Caenorhabditis elegans: one gene and its partner. The protein of the gene in region 1 purifies or fractionates together with the protein of each later gene. This does not show direct contact. Each region holds a gene or a part of one and is shown on either strand. Other genes may lie near its edges.

What was found.
Region 2: the proteins of urb-1 (region 1) and nasp-1 fractionate together in Caenorhabditis elegans (co-fractionation; one large-scale study listed by BioGRID). This does not show direct contact.

What each region holds. Positions count from the first base shown.
Region 1 is NC_003283.11:6,417,917-6,426,168, reverse strand, and holds the start of urb-1 (Nucleolar pre-ribosomal-associated protein 1 C-terminal domain-containing protein), read left to right. Parts: upstream 1-2,013; coding exon 2,014-2,130; intron 2,131-2,178; coding exon 2,179-2,421; intron 2,422-2,472; coding exon 2,473-2,535; intron 2,536-2,582; coding exon 2,583-2,666; intron 2,667-2,716; coding exon 2,717-2,942; intron 2,943-2,989; coding exon 2,990-3,102; intron 3,103-3,157; coding exon 3,158-3,451; intron 3,452-3,802; coding exon 3,803-3,952; intron 3,953-4,370; exon of another isoform or gene 4,371-4,443; intron 4,444-7,859; coding exon of another isoform or gene 7,860-7,949; intron 7,950-8,009; coding exon of another isoform or gene 8,010-8,045; intron 8,046-8,121; exon of another isoform or gene 8,122-8,161; coding exon of another isoform or gene 8,162-8,220; intron 8,221-8,252. Other genes in the region: T05H4.11 (DUF4706 domain-containing protein), read left to right, coding at 326-421, 726-814, 870-964, 1,014-1,098, 1,147-1,227, 1,275-1,461.
Region 2 is NC_003280.10:11,104,887-11,108,675, reverse strand, and holds nasp-1 (Protein NASP homolog 1), read right to left. Parts: upstream 2,065-3,789; 5' UTR 2,041-2,064; coding exon 1,928-2,040; intron 1,877-1,927; coding exon 1,510-1,876; intron 1,461-1,509; coding exon 885-1,460; intron 827-884; coding exon 734-826; 3' UTR 606-733; downstream 1-605. Other genes in the region: apc-1 (Anaphase-promoting complex subunit 1), read right to left, coding at 16-345, 399-452; C09H10.9 (YqaJ domain-containing protein), read right to left, coding at 2,714-2,746, 2,791-2,918, 2,967-3,105, 3,150-3,259, 3,309-3,445, 3,491-3,705, 3,760-3,789. UniProt on the Caenorhabditis elegans protein: Promotes normal hermaphrodite (XX) development, in concert with zinc finger protein tra-4 and histone deacetylase hda-1, perhaps as components of a complex. May act redundantly with nasp-2.

The DNA of each region.
Region 1 (8,252 bases):
AGTTGTTCTACGAGCAAACATATTCAAACTCTTCCCCAACCCGTGAATACTCTTTTGAACGGCACCCCATTGCCGATTTGGGGTGCACCATTAGGCAGACCTGTCTGTCCGCAAGCCTCCTACGTCATCACACAGACACTAACCCAGCACCATTGCGCAGACGCGACAGACGACCTTTTATTTGCTACTCATATACCACACGATTTCAAATTGCAGGTTTTCGTTCCGCCGAAATGGATTCAAAACTCTAGTCATTTCAAAATTAATAAAAGGTTTGTGTTTTTTTCTCTCACGCATTTTTAAAATTCCATTTCCAATATTTAAGATGGTCGAATTTTCAAAGGAGTCATCGACCAGAGTCTCTGTAAACTCACAACGACAAATATCGCATGTCCAGAAACGAGAGCTCACGAAGCGAAAGGTTCGTTACTGATGTAACAGATAAGATGGGAAGTAGTGTAGGCGGGATTCTAATGGAAGACTGGAAGGTCAACCGTTCGATATGACATCATTGTGACCCCATGATGCTCGTCGGAAGATAGGGATTCTTTTTTTTTTTGCGTATCTGCTACGTGGTTATTATGCGTTGTTCAAATACTTTAACAAGAACAGTTTCTCTATGGCATTCATCTTATGATCTGGTAAGATTTCCATTTAAAGAAACACATTTCCTGAGCAATAAAAGTATGAATAATAACTCATTAATTAATAAACGTATTTTGCAGAGTGTCCGATTTGAAACACAAACTGTGGAGTCAACATCCGAATTTGTTGGTAAAACGAATCAGGAATGGACGTTCGTCGCTGATTGCTTGTATGTTTCAAGCTGTAATTTATTAAAACTATTTTTTAAAATTCCATTTTTCCAGCAATCTCGACAAAGAAACTCGAAGTGAACGAGAACAGGAGCTTCTCTCGCTGTGCAACTTCTTCGATTCGAATGAGAAGGAACTCGAGTTGAGCGGTATTAAATTAAAATTTTAATAATCCAGTTATCAATAAGCGTATTTTAGATGCTTCTGACGAATCGGATGACTCGGTTCCATTCGAATTATTTGCCGAGCAGGGAATGCGAATTGCTTGGACTCAAATCGTTACGTAAGGATTATTTGATGGTTTATGTTGTTTTAAAATTAAATTTTTTAGCTCACCGTCATTGAGCAATCTTCGCTTAGCTAGCATTCTCCGCTTCGATACAAAAAAGAAAATAGTTTCACCCTTCATTGAGTGAGTTTTTCTGATAAAATGCCCGATATTAAAATGAATTATTCTAGAGACGAAAAGAGTCCTCAAGAGTTCTTCTTGGACGACAACGAAGCGGTCGAGAATGCTTTCAAAGGTGTCTTACCATGCACAAATTCTCAAAAAGTGAGCAGGTCACGTCGAGCTTCAAAATCAGAAGAAGAAAACGATTTCGTAACGGCCAAGGGATCCGACTTTTGGAGTGATGTCGAATTTTAAGAAAGACCACGCAGCAGAAGCAACAACTACAATGTTCACAAATCCCAATGCAAAAACTGACCGATTAACGGATTTTATCTACTATCAAGAGCTTTCAACCGTCTTCCAAAGAAGAACATCTATTCGTCTCCCCGCAATTCTATATATAATTTCGTTTTGTCTTATCTCAAATTCTGTTCGTATTTCATTTACTGATCAAATTTACTCTTGTTCTATTGTAAATCATGTCCTTATTCCTAATCTCCAAAATTTTTTAAAAATTAAAGTTACCATTCCACTAATTTTCATCTCTTTCCCTCAACCCATTTCATTCCTTTCGCCGATACTCTAAAATTTAATGTGCCTTTCTTTCATTTAATTTCAGTTCATCTCTCAATTGCCTTTTTTCAATTTGCAGAAACTTTATTTATTTCCATTTTATCATCCAATGCCGTTCAACGAATAAATGATTTGATTAAAACGTTGTGTGGATTGACCAAGTGGTTTTCTTCCATAAGTACCTGAATTGTATAGATCAACTTTAAACATTTAAGCATTGAAACATATTTCCAGATGGGCACGAAAAAAAAGATTTTGGCAAAACTAGCCAAGTTCGGCGAGGTAGACTGGACTCCGAATGAAGAAGAATTGGCAGAGCTCGTTGAACTTTTGAATGATATAAAAGACGACGTAAGGTAGAAATTAAGGATGATAATAATAATAATTTAAAGACTTTAGATATCTACACAAGAAAAAGTTCGAGACGTCGATTTGAAAGTGCTCGCAAGCTTGCTCACTGTCTACCGAGCAACGTGCTGTGAGCTCGATATGAGCATTTTTGCAATTCTTCAAAGTCTTGAGAAGTATGGAACAGATTTCAGCGATTTACAACCACTTGTTTTCGGCGAAGAAGCTAGGAAGAATTATGAAAATCTGCGGAAAATGGGACTCGACCTGCATGTTAGAATTACTCCAGACGATGTAAATGAATCTTTTTATCTTTCAAATAAATATTTAATTTCCTAATTTCAGGCAATTAAGACGTTTTTTGATGCAGCAACACTTTGGAATACTACTAAATATCATGTTCGGCCGGTAAGTTATCTTATCACAAATTATATTATCTCATGGTTTTTGTTTAGCTGACAGAAGAAAATTCTGAAAAAATCTACGATGTTCGATTTGTACTTCGATTCTTCAACTCGATTCTACATCCTGCATCTTCGGTAAGTTATTGTTTTAGGTGCAATTAAAAATAATCTGTTTAATTTTCCAGCTTACTTCAAAACTATTTGTTGAACATAACTGCCTTGCCCTCCTGTTCTCGTGTACATCTTCATCGGATTCTTCTGTCCGAACTTTGGCGTTTGCATGTCTTCAAAAGTTTGTGAATCATTTACAAGAACTGAACACTGAAATATTCGCTGAAAAAGCACTGATTCTCTATCTAATTCGAATTTTCAAACATGGATTCGATTCGTCAGTGCCGAGAGTTTCAAGTAGTAAGTTTTTGCGAGGAATTTAAAAGTTCCAATTATTTTTTTTTCAGTCATTACTCATTTCTTCGCAAGAGTCTCAAAGTTAATGTTGAATCCGTCAAGTGATGTTTATCCGCAGATCATGGCTTTTCTCTGTATGAAACCAATTTTTGACATTCAAAATGTATGTTTCTGACTGTGATAGAGGGGTTTTCCACTACTTGAAGAACATTTTTCAGGTTCCAGAATTTTACAAACTTCTCTTCTCGTCTTCTCCAGAACACCATAATGAAGAACGTGAATGGGTACTTACTCTGATCTCCGAGGCAATGCTCGAACCCATCGATTATCAAGTTCTACAAAACCGAGCTGGTATCAAATTGCTGCTCAGTTCGTTCTCGAGTGTTTGGCTGGAACGGAAAAGTCGTTCACTGATTCTTCGAACTCTTCAAAATGCCGTTCAAATGCCATCTGTGGCTCATGATCTTTTCACAAGAGAAGGCCTGCACATGTGGATTGCTTCTATCATTCATGTGAGTTCATAGAATAAATATCTACTTATTGCGCCATGTTGTTCCAATGTTGCCAATTGAAAATTGATCTCAAAATAAAGTAAATAACTTTATTAATCTCAAAATAATATTTATTTCAATTAAAACACTTTCAAAAGGTGCTAAAAATCACCTGAAAGTTGCAAGTTGTCGTAGTTTCCACAATTGGCAACTTTCAGGCAGTCTTTGTGCATTTTCTGAGATGTTTCAACTGAAATAAATGTAATTTTCAGATTAAAAAAATTGATTTTCTATATTTTGACACTAATTTTTCAATTAAAAAATATGTAATTTTATATAATATAATCTCTGCCAATGACGAAATATTTCCAGAGTGGTCGATTCAATAGATGGGAGAAGAACTATTTGGCACAAGTATTTTGTAGTCTTTTGGAAAATGAACGAAAATATCAACGAGGAGAAAAAGGAAAAGAGCAAGCGTGTAAAGCGGCTACTTCTGCAGCAAGAATTTGTAGTAAAAAGGTTAGTGATTCAAATTTATGAAACTTACTATTACCGGTACAGAGAGTGTAGATAGTTAGAGAGTGCCAGACATCCGGGACCCAATGGGGCGGGGCGCGCGGAAGAGACGATTTGTGTCGATTTACGAAATTTTCCTTGTTGTCATCATTTACTCTCTAACTATATACCCTCTCTGTACCGGTAATAGGGAGTTATTCAACCATACGGTGCGATCGGGTAAAAGTAAACGTGTTATGCGATAGCTGGCATCTTAGGCTTTCAGAATCTGTAATTTGTTTCGGCGGAAGACCTCTGTGAGTCTGGAAATTTTCATCTGAAAATGTAGTACTGAAATCAGTGCATTTCCTATGGTTAACAGTGGATTTTGTCTCTGGCGCCAACAGAAGTCTCACTGCAATGGTGGAAGGGCGAAATCATCGCTTCGGTGGTCGAGTGGTGAACGCGTTCGCCTCTTGAGCAGAAGTTTGTGGGTTCGGTTCCCACACGTGGTTTAAATTTTGGCCTTTTTTTATACAAAATTTTTAGAACGGGAAACAAATGTTTAAAACAGTTTTTTGAGGTTTTTACATTACTTTTTTGCTTTTTGATTGAACCACAATTACCCTGGAAACTTTTCAGAAATTTTTATTTTTTCGAAAATTGCCACTTTTTTCTCCACCAAACCCATGAGAAAATTTGATCCAAAAATTTTTTTTGAATTTTTTCAAAAATGTATGAAATATTGTAGAGTGTCACAAATAACTTATTTTTCATTGTTTTCAATGACCGAATCACTAATTCTGATGCCGTATCAAGACGTTTTACCAATTCGATATTGGCAAAACACCTTGTCTTTGAGACTCCATATCTCCGCAGGAAAAAATTGCGCTTAAAAGTGATCAACTGAAAACTTGTTAAACACAATGTGATCTAAAACTTTTCAGTTGAACACTTTTTTGTAAAAAATTTGGTTGCTGAGATATAGACCTTTAACTATTTAGAATATTCAAAAATAATGAAGCTCAAATCAATTGGTTCCAACTCGGCAACCAAATTTTTTACATGAAAGTGTTTTACTGAAACGTTTTAGATCACATCATTTTCAACAAGTTTCTAGTTGATCACTTTTTTGTGCGATTTTTTTCTGCAGAGATATGGAGCCTCAAAAACAAGATGTTTTGCCAATATCCACTTGGTAAAAGATTTGGTATTCTGATTTTTTACATTTTTTACCATGTGGCAAATTTTTTTTCGAACTACCAAGTTTTTTTTGTACAGTTTTATAATGATTCAACATATTTTTTGGCATATTTAACACCGCGAATTAGAACAATTTGCGGTAATTTTTGCATTTCATTTGTTTTAATGGTTTTTGAAATTTTCTGCCCTTCGTTGTTTTCAGTACTCGTTCTATAATACTCGGCAGAGAACACTTTCTCTATTATTATTCATTTATTTTTTAATGACTTTTTCTATTGCGAATGTCATATTTTTGCTCCGGAAGAAATTCCCGGATCCGCTACCGTCTGCACCATCCATCACTCGCGAGGAGGAGAAAATGGCAACTCATTGTTGGAACATTATCAATCAAGCTGTTGACGGAGATATAGAAGTATATGAAGATGACGATGCTGTTGACGATAATCACGAGGATTGGATTCCAGAAGAATTTGAGGTATAATGAATTTAATAATGGTACAACTATTAATTTTACAAATTTAGCCGAGTGACGACGTAGTTCTTGCATCACATCGCGATGTAATGTTTGGTGACAGATCAATTACTCGAGAATTACTTGATGAGGCAATTGTGTTTTTCCGTGGAACCAAAAAAGGATCAAGAACTCTCTCTTCGATGATGGAGAAGTACAAATGGATCAAACGAGAATGTGATTTGAGCAAGCTTCGAAAGTATGAGAAGGAACGAGACGATTTCACAGAAAGCCGAACAAATCTTCTGCGCCGTCTCGGTAAAACACTTTATGAAGTGGTTAAAGATAAGTTGGAAAAGGGTATGTTTAGATGTTCTGAAAGTATACCTATCAAACTATTTTTAGGTATGATGATTCATGACTCTGATCTCGCATCAATTGCTCGCGAAATCAACAATAACGAAACGAAAGTCGAAAACTTCATTGCCTCGTCAAATTGGGTGTCGAAATGGAAGAAGAGTCATCGGTACGAGTTTTGAAGTATTTGAAAGTATCAAATTTCGATTGTTTTTAGGATCGTAAGCAGGAGAATAACCAAATTTGTTACACGGAGGTGTATGCGGGATAAAGTGGCTATTCGAAAAACAGCTGATGATTTTGTCAGGGACACCAAACGCGAAATGTCTCCGTTTGATCCATATATGATTTTCAATGCGGATCAAACAGGCATACAAAAAGAACTCTACGGTGCACGATCATTAGCATTTTTGGGAGATAAGGTAGTGGAGAGGCTCGTCCAGGCAAAATCATCCCTGACACACAGCTTCACTTTTCTTCCGATGATCTTCATGAATGGCTCACTTGGACCGAAGGCGTTTATTGAGATGTCAGAACCTGCCACTGGATGTTTCCCGCCAAGCCGACCAATTCCCAAATGCCCGAACTTGGAAGTCAGAGCGGCAAAAAGCCACATCATGGGAAAAGAATTGATGTGTGATTGGATCAAGACTTGTGTGGCTCATGCTTCGCTCCCAAAAAGGCTCTTGATGATAGTTGATAGTTGGCCAAGTTTTAAGGATCACGCTACAATTCAACAATGCTTTCCTCCAGGATATGACGTCACTATAAAGAACATTCCACCTCATACGACTTCAATGATACAGCCTCTTGACAGCCATTGGAATGGCCCGTGGAAAGTATGTTTTTCTTTTTCTTCCACTTCTTTTATTTGATTATTTTACAGAACTTGATCAAGAAGTTCACCACCCACGTACTCAACTTCCATCCAGATTTCCTCATTGCAAATCGGAACAATGAAATTTGGATGATTTCTCTGCTTTATCACCAGGTTTCTGCTCGCGAGTTCCAATCATTCATGATGTATTCTTGGAAGCGTTGTGGCTACTTGGATTCAACTGACACGTTTTTGACCCCTTCACAGCATTGTTTTGGACAAGTCGAAGGCCAATTGTGTTACTTCGCAGGATGTTATAATCTTGCATTCATTTTCTGTGCCCGTTGTAAAGAATATATCTGTTTCTCACATTTTATTGTCGACGAAAAGCATCTCTGCCCAAATGTGTGATTGCTGCCCACTGTTTTTTTCGACAAATGCCTTATTTTCCAGTGTCGTTTTATTGATAAAATATGCCAAAAAATATGTTGAATCATCATAGAACTGTACAAAAAAAATTTGGAAATTCGAAAAAAAATTCGCCATGGTGCACATGAAGAAAATTTCATTTTTTGGTCGGAAATTTTTTTCTCCAAATCTGTTAGATATTCAATCCCCATAAAAATCTCGATATGAAAAACATGGTAAAAAATGTAAAAAATCAGAATACCAAATCTTTTACCAAGTGGATATTGGCAAAACATCTTGTTTTTGAGGCTCCATATCTCTGCAGAAAAAAATCGCACAAAAAAGTGATCAACTAGAAACTTGTTGAAAATGATGTGATCTAAAACGTTTCAGTAAAACACTTTCATGTAAAAAATTTGGTTGCCGAGTTGGAACCAATTGATTTGAGCTTCATTATTTTTGAATATTCTAAATAGTTAAAGGTCTATATCTCAGCAACCAAATTTTTTACAAAAAAGTGTTCAACTGAAAAGTTTTAGATCACATTGTGTTTAACAAGTTTTCAGTTGATCACTTTTAAGCGCAATTTTTTCCTGCGGAGATATGGAGTCTCAAAGACAAGGTGTTTTGCCAATATCGAATTGGTAAAACGTCTTGATACGGCATCAGAATTAGTGATTCGGTCATTGAAAACAATGAAAAATAAGTTATTTGTGACACTCTACAATATTTCATACATTTTTGAAAAAATTCAAAAAAAATTTTTGGATCAAATTTTCTCATGGGTTTGGTGGAGAAAAAAGTGGCAATTTTCGAAAAAATAAAAATTTCTGAAAAGTTTCCAGGGTAATTGTGGTTCAATCAAAAAGCAAAAAAGTAATGTAAAAACCTCAAAAAACTGTTTTAAACATTTGTTTCCCGTTCTAAAAATTTTGTATAAAAAAAGGCCAAAATTTAAACCACGTGTGGGAACCGAACCCACAAACTTCTGCTCAAGAGGCGAACGCGTTCACCACTCGACCACCGAAGCGATGATTTCGCCCTTCCACCATTGCAGTGAGACTTCTGTTGGCGCCAGAGACAAAATC
Region 2 (3,789 bases), on another chromosome or scaffold:
AAACTAAATTCTCACCTTAAAAGGAATTTCATAGTGATAGAAATGATAGTCGGGAAGCGATATGAACTGGAGCTTATGCTCACCGCACACAACCAAATAATCCCGATGCTTCGTATCAGGTCCACCACAATTCTCAGTTGCCAACTTTTCAGCGTTTCGAGTCACAATGAACGAGTGGAAGAACACTTTTTTGATATCAAACTCCATTTTGAACCGTCGTTTAATCATCTTCCGTCGCGTCGTTCCATCACAAATGAGAATAATTGGACCCGATGTGAAGACAAAATCCGTGGTCTTCTCCTTGTTTCGAAACGCGCAGACCACTGTATCCTGGGTGAAGAAATCCTGAAAATTTAAGTTTACTTTTTTTAAATTGTTAATTATCTAAAAAAAATTACCTTTCCAATTTCATCTCCCAGCTGAATATCAAACTGTTTATTAGCAGAGATCATATTTTTCCAATGGCAATCATCAAATTCTTCACTCATACAAGTATAATTCGAATTTGAATGAAGCTGAAAATCCTGTTTTAAATAGTAAAATTATTTTGGAAGTATGAAAAAGATTTGAAACAAATTATAAAAACGAATATATGGCGAATATATATATACAGAACAAGTTTTACTTTAGAATCCTTAAATTCGGATAACAGATAAAATGTTAATTGATACATTATCAGTAGTTCAGTAGGTCAGATCATGATGAAATATTTAGAATTACAGGTTATCAATATTCAGATCGAAGTTGTTCCTTCCTCCTCCTTTTCTTTCTTCACTGCTTGATTGTCAGTTGGAGCATCCACTGCTCGTTTTGCTGGACGACGAACCTGGAAATTTGTTAATTGAATATTTAAAAAGTCTACGGGAAGTTAATTCAAACCGTACCAAGCTAGAAATATCATTTGCTTCCTTCTGATCACCGGCTTCTTGTGGAAGTTTTGCCAATACTTGTGTGAATCCTTCGAATTGCGCTTTAATGGCCTTCTTAGTTTCCTCAACTTGTGCTGCAGAGTGCACAGCATCAGCAATCATTTCTTCAACGCCTGGCATCATCTCTTCAAGCTCCTTCAGCTCATTCTCAAATTCAGACTTCTTTTCCTTATCATCAACACCTCTTTCCAGCTCATGCTTCAACTCAGTCTGCCTGGCGATGAGTACGTCCTTGGTTTTGCCGAAGTACTGAACGGTTTCATCGTAATTCGCATCGCTAGCACACGCGTTTCCGATGAGAATGTAGGTTTGGGCGATTTTTCTCGACGACGGTGGAAGAACATTGCGCTGAATGTTGAGGGCACGATCCAAGTCCTCAAAAGCCTGAGTATACTTTCCATCTGATATTCCGTGCTCGCCGAGGAGAACCAGTACATCAGCGAGTTTCAGGTTCCATTCCTCAATGGCACTGATTCCACTCTGCTCAGCTTCTAGAGCTTCGATTTTGGCAGCGGCAATACAACGAGCTGTCTGAAAATAATCACAATTAAGCATAAAATCATTGAATAAAATAAGAAACCTCAAGAATTTCCCATGATAATTTCATGGTATCATCATCATCGTCCTCTTCTTCACCGGATTCCTCTCCGTCCTCCTTCTCCGTTTCTCCATTCTCTTCGTCAGTCTTGTCATCAGAATTTCCAGCTTGCTCCTCATCTCCGCTTTCCTTCTCACCTGGACCTTTCAGAAGTTGGCTCTCCTCCTTCGCCAATTCCAGTGTGGCCATGCCATAATAGTAAAGAGAATCGAACGTGTTTTCATGGTTTTCTCCATAAATTTCGGAGCTCAGTTCAGTAGCCTCACTCAACGAATCCGATGCTTTGTCGATATCGTTAACTTTCAACGCACGGCGTCCAGCTGCAAGCAACTCGGCGAGACGCTTCTCTCTGGAATACGAAAAGTGATTTTATTGATGATATTCTGCAGCAAAAGTTTACTTCTGCTCGACAGTCTCTTCTTCTGTAGTAGTCCCGTTTCCTTTTTCATCTGAATCTCCTGAAGCATCCTTCACACGAATATCAGAGGCGTCGGCGATGTTTTCAGTGTCCATTTTCTGATTTGTTAATATCTGAAAATAAATACTATTCGATATATATTCAAAATTCAATAAAAAGCGGATAAATTCAAATGAGTATAATAGCGCGGGAGAGCCTAGAAACCGAGCGTTGCCTAGTCCACTAAAAACCGGCCATACGGCGGGAATTAGTACGTTTCGAAAAGGTTTATCAATAAATGTTTTTAAACAAACATATAAACTGTATTCATGATGTTTTTAGAATTCTACCGCTAGAACAGACCGACAGGCCGATTTTTTGGTTGATTTCAGTTGATAATTCCAGCTTGAATCACTTATTAACACTGCCGCCGCTTAAAAACTTTTAATTAAACAAAAATAAACACAATACTTCAGCAAAACTTTCATTTGAAAAGAGAAAAAACAATTTTTTGGGAGTATAAACTTAAATTGTCAACAACAAATTTTCCCGCGCTGTGCAATGTTGCGTCTGCGTGCCGCACAGATATTACTGTAACGCATCACATATGACGAGCAATTGGAGTTTTCTTTATTTTTTCTTTTTTGTTTTTGCATTTTCTTTTGCCTATTTTCCTTCTAGTTCTTTAACAAAATGAATTTATTAAAAACTTTTATTCTAAATACTAGAGAAAAACTGTATATCACATAAAACTCGATGGCACATTGTTGAGAATCTTCCAAGTTGTAATTAAGTCCGCTCAGAAGTCGTTTTAGGCGATTTCTGAAAAGAAATTAAAATTATGTTTAACTGCTGTGTTTCAATACCTTCTTTAATTTTATTGTAAATTCGTTTTCCCCATTTTCTGAGTCGTGTCGTCGTTTTACTCCACATTTTACGATTGGGGGTTTGGAGAGAATGCCGAGGAGAACTGGATGGTCCGACAATTTCAGATCTGCAATCTAGTTTTTGTTGAATTTCGTTTAATCACTATCAAACTTACTTTCTTTGTCCTCCTGCAAATTCATAGCCTGGAAAACTGGCGTTCGGATCGTTGTGAATTTATTATCCGGATATTTACATACACCTTGAGCTTTGTTAGTGCCGGCTTCCGTAATTCTTATCAGCGAAATTTCAAATGCCTGAAATTTTGTAATGACAGGTGAAAAAAAATGTAGATCCTCACATTAACATGGTCGGCGACATCCGGATACACAAAATTTTCTATCCATTTTGCAAATGAGTGCAAGTTACTGTAGCTACAAGTACCAATGAGAGCGCCGTGCTTATAAGTTTCTGAAAATTATATTTAATTGGTCTATTAAGCTTAACTATAAAATATTACTTTTATTATCTGGCCAGTAATGCTGGTGTGCGTCGAATAGAGTTAGCGTGTCCTGATTTCTATCGAAAATAATCGAAACTGTTCGAACACAGCTCATCATGATGAAGACAAGGCGACTTTCCGATTGAAATAATGGACTGAAAAATGCCGGAAATTTATAGAATTTGAAATTTTGAACCTACTGCCGAACAGCCATCTTGATTAGTTTTGGTAGAGATTCTTTGATTGATCCAGTAGTTAGTTTGAAATCAACTTCCGAAAAACTAAGATCACATGCTTTGATTGCATCTGGCAAGTTGTAATTTCTCGTAGATTCGTCACCAGCGTGCTTTGAATAAGTGTCATTTCCATCCACAATCCCATTAATCAGACAACCAATAAGTCGCGGTGGGCAAGTCTGAAATTAAGAAATTTATAATCCAATAATTAAGCTTAATCTAAAAAGTCTTACAGTTTCAAAACCATTGTTATCCACAACCGT